Diceros bicornis minor: one gene and its partners. The protein of the gene in region 2 purifies or fractionates together with the protein of the main gene of each other region. This does not show direct contact. Links are inferred from orthologs where the notes say so. Each region holds a gene or a part of one and is shown on either strand. Other genes may lie near its edges.

The links.
Region 1: the proteins of PEX19 (region 2) and FAF2 purify together in Homo sapiens (affinity purification with mass spectrometry; 4 studies listed by BioGRID and IntAct, counting the BioPlex papers as one, with this or other methods). This does not show direct contact. The link is inferred for Diceros bicornis minor from reciprocal best matches to the Homo sapiens genes PEX19 and FAF2.
Region 3: the proteins of PEX19 (region 2) and NAT14 purify together in Homo sapiens (co-immunoprecipitation; 3 studies listed by BioGRID and IntAct, counting the BioPlex papers as one, with this or other methods). This does not show direct contact. The link is inferred for Diceros bicornis minor from reciprocal best matches to the Homo sapiens genes PEX19 and NAT14.

The regions. Positions count from the first base shown.
Region 1 is NC_080740.1:89,695,412-89,699,154, reverse strand, and holds the start of FAF2 (FAS-associated factor 2), read right to left. Parts: upstream 2,234-3,743; 5' UTR 2,181-2,233; coding exon 2,118-2,180; intron 2,054-2,117; exon of another isoform or gene 1,398-2,053; coding exon of another isoform or gene 1,380-1,397; intron 1-1,379. UniProt on the Homo sapiens protein: Plays an important role in endoplasmic reticulum-associated degradation (ERAD) that mediates ubiquitin-dependent degradation of misfolded endoplasmic reticulum proteins.
Region 2 is NC_080743.1:64,951,188-64,954,930, forward strand, and holds the start of PEX19 (peroxisomal biogenesis factor 19), read right to left. Parts: upstream 2,770-3,743; 5' UTR 2,751-2,769; coding exon 2,648-2,750; intron 1,227-2,647; coding exon 1,117-1,226; intron 692-1,116; coding exon 526-691; intron 85-525; coding exon 1-84. UniProt on the Homo sapiens protein: Necessary for early peroxisomal biogenesis. Acts both as a cytosolic chaperone and as an import receptor for peroxisomal membrane proteins (PMPs).
Region 3 is NC_080773.1:33,458,551-33,462,293, reverse strand, and holds NAT14 (probable N-acetyltransferase 14), read right to left. Parts: upstream 2,624-3,743; 5' UTR 2,473-2,623; intron 2,068-2,472; 5' UTR 2,022-2,067; coding exon 1,950-2,021; intron 1,385-1,949; coding exon 836-1,384; 3' UTR 230-835; downstream 1-229. UniProt on the Homo sapiens protein: Probable acetyltransferase. May act as a transcription factor that regulates the expression of coproporphyrinogen oxidase by binding to a promoter regulatory element.

The DNA of each region.
Region 1 (3,743 bases), on a different chromosome or scaffold from region 2:
CTCACCTCTTACTGATAGAGATGTCCAGTGAAGACAAAAATGGAGGTTGCTATGCACTTCACCTCAGAAATGCTATCATATACTCATGTCCTTCCAGTACTAGACTAACTAAATCATGACTTATAACTCACAGCACCTCATTACACTTAAACAACATGGGGGCTTACTCTTGAAGAGTTGTAAGGGGTAAAATGGTCTGCCCAAATTAAACAAAACCCTGAACTTAGTGATCTACCAGGAAGTGAAAGCTAGTTGTGTGCTCTTTATTCATTCTGATTCCGATTTGTTGTGTCATCAATTTCTCTCCTCAAAACTCCAATCAAACATCAACCACTATGATAGTTTTTTCCCATTTACACTCTTCCAACCCACTGCTCAATTTACGAGGGAAAAAACTTCAAAATTATGGGGCCGCCCCGTGGCTTAGCCGTTAAGTGTGCACGTTCCGCTACTGGCCGCCCGGGTTCAGATCCCGGGCGGACGCACCGCTTCTCCAGCCATGCTCCCACATACAGCAACTAGAAGGATGTGCAACTATGACATACAACTATCTACTGGGGCTTTGGGGAGAAAAAGGAGGAGGATTGGCAATAGATTTTAGCTCAGGGCTGGTTTTCCTCAGCAAAAAGAGGAGGATTGGCATGGATGTTAGCTCAGGGCTGATCTTCCTCACAAAAAAAAAAAAGCAGAACTCCTGCCTCAAAAAAAAAAAACAAAAAAAAACTTCAAAATTAACTACAGTGAAATCTAATCAAGGAAATTATAGAAAAGTGAGAACTTGCAAAGAAAAAAAAATATCACAGCATTTGCATTTCACTCTCAGTTGTACACTGATACTTACACAGGCTGTATAGCACACACATCAAGAGCTCAGGAAAGGTTCTGGAAAGATGGACCTGGCTTTAAATCTGACTACCACTCACTAGCCATGTAAACTAAGCATGTTACTTCTTAAGCCTCGTATCCCTCATTTGTAAAATAGGGACTGTAAACAGTATGAATCTCATAGGGTTGTTGTAGTAAATGCAATAATGTATGCTAAGTGTTCAGTAAAGTATTTACAACCTCACACTCAATAAATGGTATTCTAACTAGCAGTGCCTGAGAACTAAGGTTTTTGGTAAATACTACTGAATTAATGAATATACAGCACATTTTATACTAGGAAATAACTGTACCACTAACTTTCATTCTATCCTAAGTTAAATAATGATTAACAACAGCAATACTGTTTGGGAGCATTTTACAGTTTACAAAGCCCTTCAGACACCCATAAACTCATCAAACTCATCCTTACGAGGTTAACGTTTTTAAGATACGTAGTTTAGAAATAAGGAATGTGGTATTCATCAGGGCAACAAAGAGCCAAGGTTACCTACCCTAGTGGTCTCCTCCATTCAGATTCTCCAGCTCAGAAATAAGTGCTCAGTGCCAAAAGTTCTTAACCCAACATCCACTAAAAGGAGGCAGATTCCTGCCAAGTTCCCAACCTCCTCAAGCACAGTCAAGCACGTGATTCCAGGAACAAGCCCAGGGTAATAAACCCGGTCGGAAGCCACGGATGACACTTATAGCGCCGCACTGTTTCCTAACGTGGTGTCTGTCCTCCCGCGCCTTTCGGGCGGGGGCCACCCTGCCCTCTCCCCCACCAGAGCGCCCAACACAGGACCTGGCACCCAGCGGCCTTCAGTCAATGTTTGTAGAAATGGTAGAGGATGCTGCTAGGAGGCTTTCCAGACCCGAAACGAGACCAACTCCGCAGTGGGGATTAAACATCTTGGTAGATCCAGAGTCGTTGGGCGGAGAGGGTCCCAGCGGTAACGTCCTCGGGCTGGGAAGATGGCTGAGGACTGGCGCCGCTAACGGAAACCAGGGTGGTTGACCCGAGGGGACACGGGACAGGGAGGAGGCGGGTCTGACTGCAGCCATGCTGGAAGGCCGGGGACCGACAGAGGCTCGGGGCCGGGGGCAGCAGGGCAGTTGGCGTCTGGGGGGGAGGGGGCCGCCTGCTGGTCTGAGAAAAATCTCGGGCCCAATCTGAGGAGAGTTCTAGGCTCCTCTAAGGGCCCGCTCCCCAGCCCGCGACGGCATTTGCTGCACCGAGTACTCGCTGCTACCTGAAACTGCAGCAGCTTCTCGGTCTGCTCCTGGGTTAGATCCCGATCCTCAGGCGCCGCCATTTTGCCGCCGCCTCTACGCTTCTGACCCGTCCGCACCGTCACCCGCCGGAACTGACCTCAGCAGCAACCACGTCCGGTCTGAACGGCCGCTGGCGCGCAACTGCGTCTGCGCGTGCTGGCCCAGTCCGGGGGTTGGTGGTGATGACAGTTCCCGCCGCCAGAGGGCGCCACCCTCGGGCCGATCCCGAACACTTCCGGAAATTGCCGAGGGACTGTCGGCACCAGTCGCCCTCACGATTTAGGCGAGGAACGGGTCTGCTGTAGAGACCCAAGACCCCTGAATAGACCGCAAAGAGCTGAGAGGTTCCGAATGCGGCACGAGCAGCTCCGGAAATTCCCGAATGCCACTCGGCAGATTTCGGCTGCTCTCTAACCGTTTTCCCGTAATCTCTAATATTCCTGAATATTTTTTAGGAGATTGTGGCCGTTCCAAAATATTGACTGTTTGATGTTTGATTCCTGCCCTGACGTTTCCAAAAGCTCCTGACTATCTCTCGGGAGGTTCCGAAAGTCTCCGAATACTGATCGGGCATTTCCGACGCCGCCTTCGAGCCGGAAGCTGTGAAAGGCTTTTGCCGCATGAAAATCGCGGCTTCAAAGTCGCTTGCTGGGATTGTTTGGACTCGGCTGCCTGGGTCTTGGGCGGTTAATGGCGCTACCAGCCTTGGGCAGAGCTTTCCTTCTATCCGCGCTGCGACGGTGCGGGAGCCCGGCCTCTGCTCCTGCCTGCCTCAGGCCCTCTCGCGGCCTCCGCCCACTGCCCGGTCTTCCCTGGACTGGGATCGGGAGACCTGGGGTCAGGTGGTAGCGCCCACCTTGCAAAGTGCTGGACATCCTTGGGCAAACCACCTCCCCTCTGGACTCCGTTTTGCCACTGGTGGAATGAGGCTCCCTAAGAGCCCCCGACATGCTGCTTCTGTGCGTTCTCCTTGGAGACAGTCCCTCACCCTTTCCACCGCCTCACCTCCGCCCCCTCCCCCCAATGTGTGCCTTCCTCTGCACCTTTCTAGCCGCTTCCAACCTGCCACCTCTCTTTAGATCGCCCTTTTCCGCTTCCGCTTCTTTTCTCCTGCCCTCGGCCTCCTCTGTCCACCCTCCAAAGGCCTTGGGGAGGCAGAGGGGTGTGGGTCTGGTGCATGCTTTTCCACAGACTACCTGTGACTCCCCATCTGTGGAATCCCACCCTGCCCACTTCACAGGGTTGGTGAGGTGAGACAGGACAGGAGGTGCTCTGGAAGCTGAAGTTCTGTGAAGGGTACGCTAGGGAATGGAAGGACTTAGGTTTTGGCTACTTCTTCCTTGCAGGCCTGTATCAGGTCTTACCAGGTCTGCACAAACTTCATCACAATGCCCTGGAATCTTTCTTAGACCTCTAAGGTAAAACTGGAAGCAAGCAAGTGCGACTTTAGAATTTATTACTTCCACTCAAAACTCAAAGGAGATGCAGTACTGTTCAACATCTCCAGTAATGTTGGATCCAGATGAATGAACTAGATGAGGCATCGCAAAGTCAGATGCCCTCTAAAGTTGTTGCTAATGCTGATTGAAGATGCATTCTTTCCA
Region 2 (3,743 bases):
GAAGGTCAGTAGCATTCTTGGCTAGTCCACTTAATGTCTCCTTTAGGCAAGAAGTGAATTCTTGTTGGGAAGTCGCATCACTGCCTAGGAAAGATCAAAAGAGCCAAGGTCAATTAGGATTTTAACTGTTTGCTTACCTAGTCTGACCTGGTTAACAGCTTGGATACGGAACATTTACTAGTGAATCACTAGCACTCCAAATCTTTGAATATGCTATGGTTATCTTCATAGTCATTTTCACCTCTCTAGATGGACTGTGTGTCAGTTTGTTCTCCACGATGACACCTACAATAACACTGTGACCTTTAAAATGGTCCGTTTTCAATCATCTTTTCTATTACTTTCCAACCCATCTCATCTCTTTCATTAAAGAGGGTCTCATCCCTCCTCCCATCTCCTCGCCCCACTCCATGGCAGTGATATCATGACTACAATCAACTTTACTAAGAATTTTGTTGTTTTCAAACAACAATGACTGAAGAGATTTGTTCAGATATTTCCAGTTGTCTGATGCCCCCTCCTCACCTACTCTCCCAGCAGCCTCTGAGAGCTTTTGGAACTGCTCTACCAGGTGGGGTTCTTCCTCAGCCAGTTCCTTCATTGCCTTCTCGAACTCTGCAGTGGCTTGGGAAGCCAGCTCGCTGTCGAACAGTTCCTGGAAAAACTTCTCTTGGGAGGCGAAGAGGGCATCCTGCAAGGAGGAGTGGTCAAAATGCATCTCTTACTTGGCACCCCACTGCACCTGGCCTCTAACAGAAGCCGCAGGCAGTGGCTCTGGGAAATGCAGTGCTTCCCTCCTACCCACCTCCATTGGACATTCTAACTACTTCTCTTAATGAGGACAGCAAGAAAGGCATCTGGCCACTCAGGGAAGGATATGGAGAGGCATTCCCAATCCAACCATTTAAATCTGCTCTTTTCTCAAGAAACCTCCTTGCGATTCCTCCACTCAACCTTAAGTCCCTGTTTCACAAGGACTGAGGCCTGCAAGAGCACTCAGCAATGAGGCCAAGGCACCCTCCTCCCAACCCCTCTGGCCCACAGGGGCCTGCCCCACCTCTGCTCAGAACTGCATGCCCATCCCCTCCCCCTCCCTTAAGTGGGTGGAATTTATACTTTGGCAGTGTCTCCTGGCGATCTCTTCTGGGGCCCCGAAGCAGCAGGGGCCGTGGTGGTAGGAGGGGGTGCTGGGGAAGGTTTGGCCTTATCGAAATCATCAAGAGCACCTTCAGAGACAAGAGACATGGTGTGTGTTGGGGATGGATGAAGATGCAATGCTGGGGGGTTTCTGGGCAAAGCATTAAAAGCACAATCTTGCAAACTGCCAACTTTCCTAAAGTTTTCTCCTTTTTTTTTTGAAACTCTCTTTCCTGGCCCATCCCTCAACAAGCCTCCCTCTTCCTCCCCATTACCTAATTCATTGTGATCAAAGGGGAAGAAAGCCCCTGAGATGGAACAAGCATCTGTCTCAGAGCTGGGAGAAGAGAGTTAAAAGAAGTTCGGCAGAGACATCTCCATCTACACAGTGCCTTCTTTGCCACACTCTAATGATTCCCCAGAAATCCAATACGAATATTCAACAGGAGCAGAGAACACAGATATCCTTAACCCCACTGAAATCACTCTGGAGCCCTAAAGAGAATAATCTTTGGCAAGAAGGTAGAAGCCACAAGATGTCCCACCCAGCTTCCCATGGGTCCTGGTACTACCACAAACTGAGGGACTCCACACTACACTCCACCGGAGGACATTAAACTCTCTTCTCTTATCCTTCAATTTAGCCTTTCCTCAGCTAAGCTCCTAAGAGCTGCCAGTGCTCTCTCTGGCCTCATCTCTGCAGATAACCGTATACCAATTCACAGAGTCACTTGGCACTCCTCACCCGTTCTGTTCATCTTTCTGCCTGCCCACATCTCTGTGACAGGGCAAGAGAAAAAAACATTCACTTCTTCCCTGAGAAGCCTGTGTCCTCACCACCATTCTACTTGCCAGGCCTTGGGGGAGGACACTGTCCCCACTCTGGGCAAGAAACCAAAAGAGAAGTGGACAGGGCTAAGGAAGAAAAGCACATCCACCCTCAAGAGGGCGAACTGTCTTCCCTTGAGGCCTCTCTTCTCAGTTTTTCAAAATAATGGGAAAAGAGTCGTTTCGAGTTTTGACATGATGAAAGAACTGGAAAGGGGCCTGGTGAGAGAAAGGTGAAAGGACTGGGAGACGGAAAGAAGTGTCTTTTGTATTAAGGAGGACAGGACAGCGCATAGAAGGACGCACTACGAGCTTGTTAAGAGTTAATATAAACAATCCGTGAGTGTCAGGTTCGCTGACCACCAAGGACCGAGTGTTGGTGCTGGCGGGAAGGAAATTAGACTTCAAGAACTTACTAATAACCTAAAGTAAGGGGAGTTTGGGGCGGGATCGTTAAACACCGTCCTATGGATTACTGCTTCCCCTCAGGCAGGGAGATCAACGCTCTGGGCCGCTCAGGGACCCGAGGTGGGCTCCCCAGCCCCCACCGCGCAGGAAAGGGAGAGTGATTTCGGGTTCGCAGTCAGACCCTCCCCCCCCAGTCCAACCTTTACAAAGCCTCTCCTGTTCCGCCCAAATATCTCAAGTTTACTGAACCCCCTGAATTGGTCCTGACACCCACCCTCTTTGGGTCTTTCCCAATACGGGCTCTTACTTTCCAGAAGCTCTTCCAATTCCCGGTCCGCGTCGGCCCCAACACCACAGTCTGCCCCAGCGGCAGCCATCTTGCTACCTCCGACTTGCCGTAGGAGGCGGGACTCCGCGGCGCCCCACCCCGCCCCCGCCCCTCCTGCCAATCAATGGTATTGTCGGCCGCTGCGGAGCCGCCATTTTTAAAGGGACAGGAAGCTTTGATTTTTTTTTTTTTTTTTTCCTCTTTCTCCAGGAACCATTGAACAGAGAACTTTCTGCTATCTTCTGCCAGGTTTCTTACTGGCCTAGCCTCCTTTTTTTCAACTTCCCACATTATCTAGAAAAGTAGGTCTTTCATTATTTCTTCCTGAGCTGTGAGTAGGCCAGATTGGGACAAACTGCCTACAAATAACCAGAAGCTGTGCATGTACAACCACTAAGACAGTTATGGCACATAACATTCTATTTTCCTCTCACTTCCTTCAGTGTTTTACTCAAATATCGTCTCTGAAATGCCTTCTTTTGGCTTCACTAAATAAAATTGCAACCTTTCCCACACACATACATATACACTGCCTATCCCCTTTATTTTTCTCAACACTTAACGCTATGTATTTTACTTATTTATTGTCTCCCCCACCCCTTTAGAGTTTAAGTACTATGATGGGAAGGATTTTCATCTGTTGTCTTCACTGCTGTATCCCCAGCTCTTAAGCTAGGGCCTAAAATTTAGTAGGCACTCATTGGCCATTCCTTGCTCTCCCACACCCTAACGAGGAATTTTTCTCTGCAGCATCTAGTGGATCTCTCTCATTTCCTATTCTCCATTAAAATTGTCAGACTAAAGGACACGGTGCCAGGAACTTAGTCAGAACTCAAAGTTAGTCGAATCAAATCAGGCAGAAAAAGCAACTCTAGGACTTCAGACTGAGCAAGCGGGCAATTCGAATGTACTAGTAATAGACCTGCCTTCCCTGACCTATCTCCTTTTCTCCATACAGAACTCAACCTCCAATCAAGTGAAGCTGGGGGAGGCTTAGATAGAGACAACTCTAGACATCCCTTCCCTCCTCTGGAATTGTTCT
Region 3 (3,743 bases), on a different chromosome or scaffold from region 2:
CACAGTCACTCTCTGCACCAGGCAGCTGTGAGGCGGAAAAAATTCAGTAATGGGGAGCGTGAGTCAGAGGGCTGGCAGGGAGCGGGGCGCCTGCCGTGAGCTCATCGCCTCCCTTCTCCCCGTCCAGCACCCCCACCGACAATTAATGTCAACTCGGGGAACAAGGAGCCAGACAGAAGGGGGGTTCTGCGGTGGACTGGAAAAGGCATCAGAGAGAGGGAGACCGGTGCACAGCAGTTCCAGGCTTTATTAACAAACGAGTGTAAAAACCCAGATGGGCCTGGCCGGCCCTCTCGGCTCTCACGGCTCTCACCTTCCCCGGAAAGGGCCAGCGGGCCAGGCAGCCCTGAGCTCATCCCCTCCTCCCCGGGGGCTCTCCCTAGGCAGACAACCCTCCCCTGCAAAGGCTCAGCTAGCTCATCCCCTCCAAACACAGGAATCAAACCCCAGCCCATTCCCAAGAGGCCTTGTCCCTATCCTCCACGTCCCCACCCCAAGTCCTAACCCTTGGGGGGACAGCTGTGCTCGGCCTCCTCTCCACCCCACATCCCTCTCCCAGGCCCATAGCACAAACAGCGCAGACTTTGCAGACAGACAGACCGAGATTTCTCAGTGCAGACAGAATCTGAGGCAGGGGATTAGACAGATTGACCTCTCTGAGAAGTTCAAACACTACAGACAGCCATCAGGCTGCGGTGGGGTCTCTTGCCTTCTGCAGACCTGTTTCTGGGCCCTGGGTGGGCTGGGGATTCACGGAGGGAGGGCATGAATGCGCCTGCACACAGTAGGTACTCCCTAAGTGTTGGTGTTCCTCCCTCCCTGTCTGGGTCTGGAGTCACAGGTCCTTGCTGAACTCCCTCACCAGCGTGTAGCCCATGCAGCCCCAGCTCCCGTCGGCCTGGTACCCACAGCCCTCCAGCATCCCCGCCACGCCCCAAGCTGCCACGGCCACCGGAACCACGAGCCGGGCCCGGGGCTCCCCCATGCCCCCCGCCCAGGCTCGAGCCCGGGATTCGGCAAAGGCCAGCAGGCGCCTGCCCACGCCTCGGCGCCGGTGCCAGCGGGAAACGGAGAGGCGGGTGACCCGGGCCCCATCCCCGGCGCTGGAGCCCGGGGCCAGGGCCAGGACCCCGCACACGTCCCCCGAGCCGCGCACTGCCACCCAGGGCCCCCCCAGACCGCCTGGTGGAGGCAGCGAGCCCCACCGGGCCCGCAGGCCCAGCTTCACAGCCGCCACAGCCAGGAACACAGGCAGGAGGAGGGCCAGGGCAAAGGAGGCCAGGACGAAGCGCAGGCCACTGCTGGCCGCCGCCAGGAGGAGCAGGGCTGGTGGCCGCGTCAGGGCATGCAGGGCCACGCGGTTCTCGGTGTCCTTCACACCAGCCTGTGGGCAAGACAGGTAGTCAGGGCGGGGAGGCTTGGCCCTCCGTCACGATAGGGCCCCCGTGGGCACCAGGGACTGGGAGAGAGAACGGGCCCTGCCAGGGAGGGATCCAGGGTGGGCGCTCCCGAAGGAGAAGGGAAGTTGATGCGTGGTCAGCTCCACAGCCCTCCAGCTGTTAACACCCCGCCTGACCCCCAGGGGTGAGAGAGGGCGCTAGAGAAAGGAGGAGCCGTGCCAGGACGCGGCTTAGGAGGAAATGATGGCTCCCCAGGGGTCCCGGCTGGCTCAGGCTGGCTCAGGCACGTGACCGAAGCCACTCACACTGGGGTCCCTGGCCCCCCAGGCTCACGGTGCCCCCAGGTGCCCCCTCCCTGCCACCCCCAGGCTCATGGTGCCCCCAGGTGCCCCCTCCCCCCCCCCACAGGCTCATGGTGCCCCCAGATGCCCCCTCCCCCCCCCAGGCTCACGGTGCCCCCAGATGCCCCCTCCCCCCCCACAGGCTCATGGTGTCCCCAGGTGCCCCCTCCCTGCCCCCCAGGCTCATGGTGCCCCTGCCGGCTCTCACCTTCAGCATCTCCAGCACCAGCGGTTTCTCATCTTCCCTCATCTCCCGCACAGACAGGTGGCTGGGGGCCATGGCAGCCCCCAGGCTCCCGCTCCCCCAGAAGGGAGCAGGCGTGCACCTGGTGAAAGCAAGCAGTGAGCATCAGCAGGGCACCTCTCGTCCCCAAAGCGCCCCAGGGGTGGGGACCAGCAGCAGCACGTCCCAGATCAGGACACTGCAGACGCTTGGGGTCCCCAAGCAAGGTCCGAGGCAGCATAGGCCTCCCTCCACCCAGCGACCTTTCTCAAGTCTCCAGGGGTCCCGCCTCCCGCCCGCCCCGTGGTGTTCAGCGATCTACCCCTAAGCGCCCTGTGAACGCCAACACCTTGCAACCCGGGGCCCCCGCCCAGGATCCGGGGCTGCCCCGGGGAAGGGGGTGGTCAGCGAAACTCCCCCCACAGCCGGGGAATGGGCCGCGCTCCCCAACCCCGGCGCCCGGCGCCCCTTCCCCCCCACAGTCGCAGGAGCAAGGACACGCAAGCACCTCTGCAGGTCGCTTCGATCCTTCGACAAGGCGTGGGGGCTGCAGGGTCGGGAAGGGGTCGCCGGCGGAAGTGACGTCACACCGCGCACGGAGGGGGGCGGGGCGGCGCCTGCACTCGGCCTTAGCAACTGTTGCCAAGCTCCCGGCGGGGGCTCGGGGGAGTCCGGGCGTGGACTGGGAGGGACCGGGCAGGGAGCGGCGGGGGTGGGGCAGGGGAGAAGGAGCCATGGAGAAGGGGGCCTCTGGGAAGACGGGAGCAGACGCTGGCGGGGGAGGGGCCGGCAGGGAGGGGATGGGGGCGGTGGGACCCGGCGGGGTGGGGCGGGGAGCGGTACTCACCCGGCTCGCGGAGGGTGAGCTCAAGCTCGCAGCCTGACGTTCCCTGGTTGCTAAGCAACCGGAGCGCTGAGAGGGGGCGGCGATGCGAGCAGATCAATTCTCATTGGCTCCGGGGCCTTCGTGGGAGAGGCCGCGCCAGCATCCCGAGCCCACTAGCTCCCAAACTCCCCCACCCCAGGAACCTCCACGCCAACCCACCTGGGCTCTCAGTGACCTTCAGATAAGCATTCCCGTCCACCTATCTTTCAGATGAGAGGAGGGGTGGGGTGAGTTACAGCGAACAAGTGGCTGAATCCGGATTCTGGATTCCAACGTCTCCCCACTATACTGACCACTGCATCCCTTTTTTAAGAATAAACCGAGCCCCACATAGAAGTGGCTGACGCCAAGACGCAAAGCAAGTCACCTGCGAGCCAGGAAGCAAGAGATAAGACTCCAAGCTCCCAACCGGTGGTTATGGCCATGACATTTCCCTCCGCGCCCCTCCCCACCAAAACAAAACACAGAAGAGGAGGTTCTGGTCTTTATTAGCAAGCCCGGCCTGCAGCACCCCTGCCCCCAACCCAACCCAGGCAGACAGAAAGTCGGGGTCTCCGTGTGGGGCGGGAAGAGGTACCAGTGGTTCTACTCAAAACGTGTGCACCAGCTGGACTGCGGGCAGAGTCTGGACAATCTGGATGGAGGGCAAGCCCTGTGGGGTCATGCCCCCAGGCACAGCTCCTGCGGGGACCACTTGTACCATCTGGGAAGTGGGCGCCGCAGGGATGCCCGCGGGGATAGAGGCTGGGCCAGGTGGCGGTGGGGCCAGCAGCTGCAGCGTGGCGGCGCCTCCCCCAATGCTGCTGTTCTCCAGCAGCTCGGTGGCCGGAGCGCTGCGGATGATAAGCAGTTTCTGTCCCGGGGGGCCGGGGGCAGGTGGCTCAGCCAGCCCC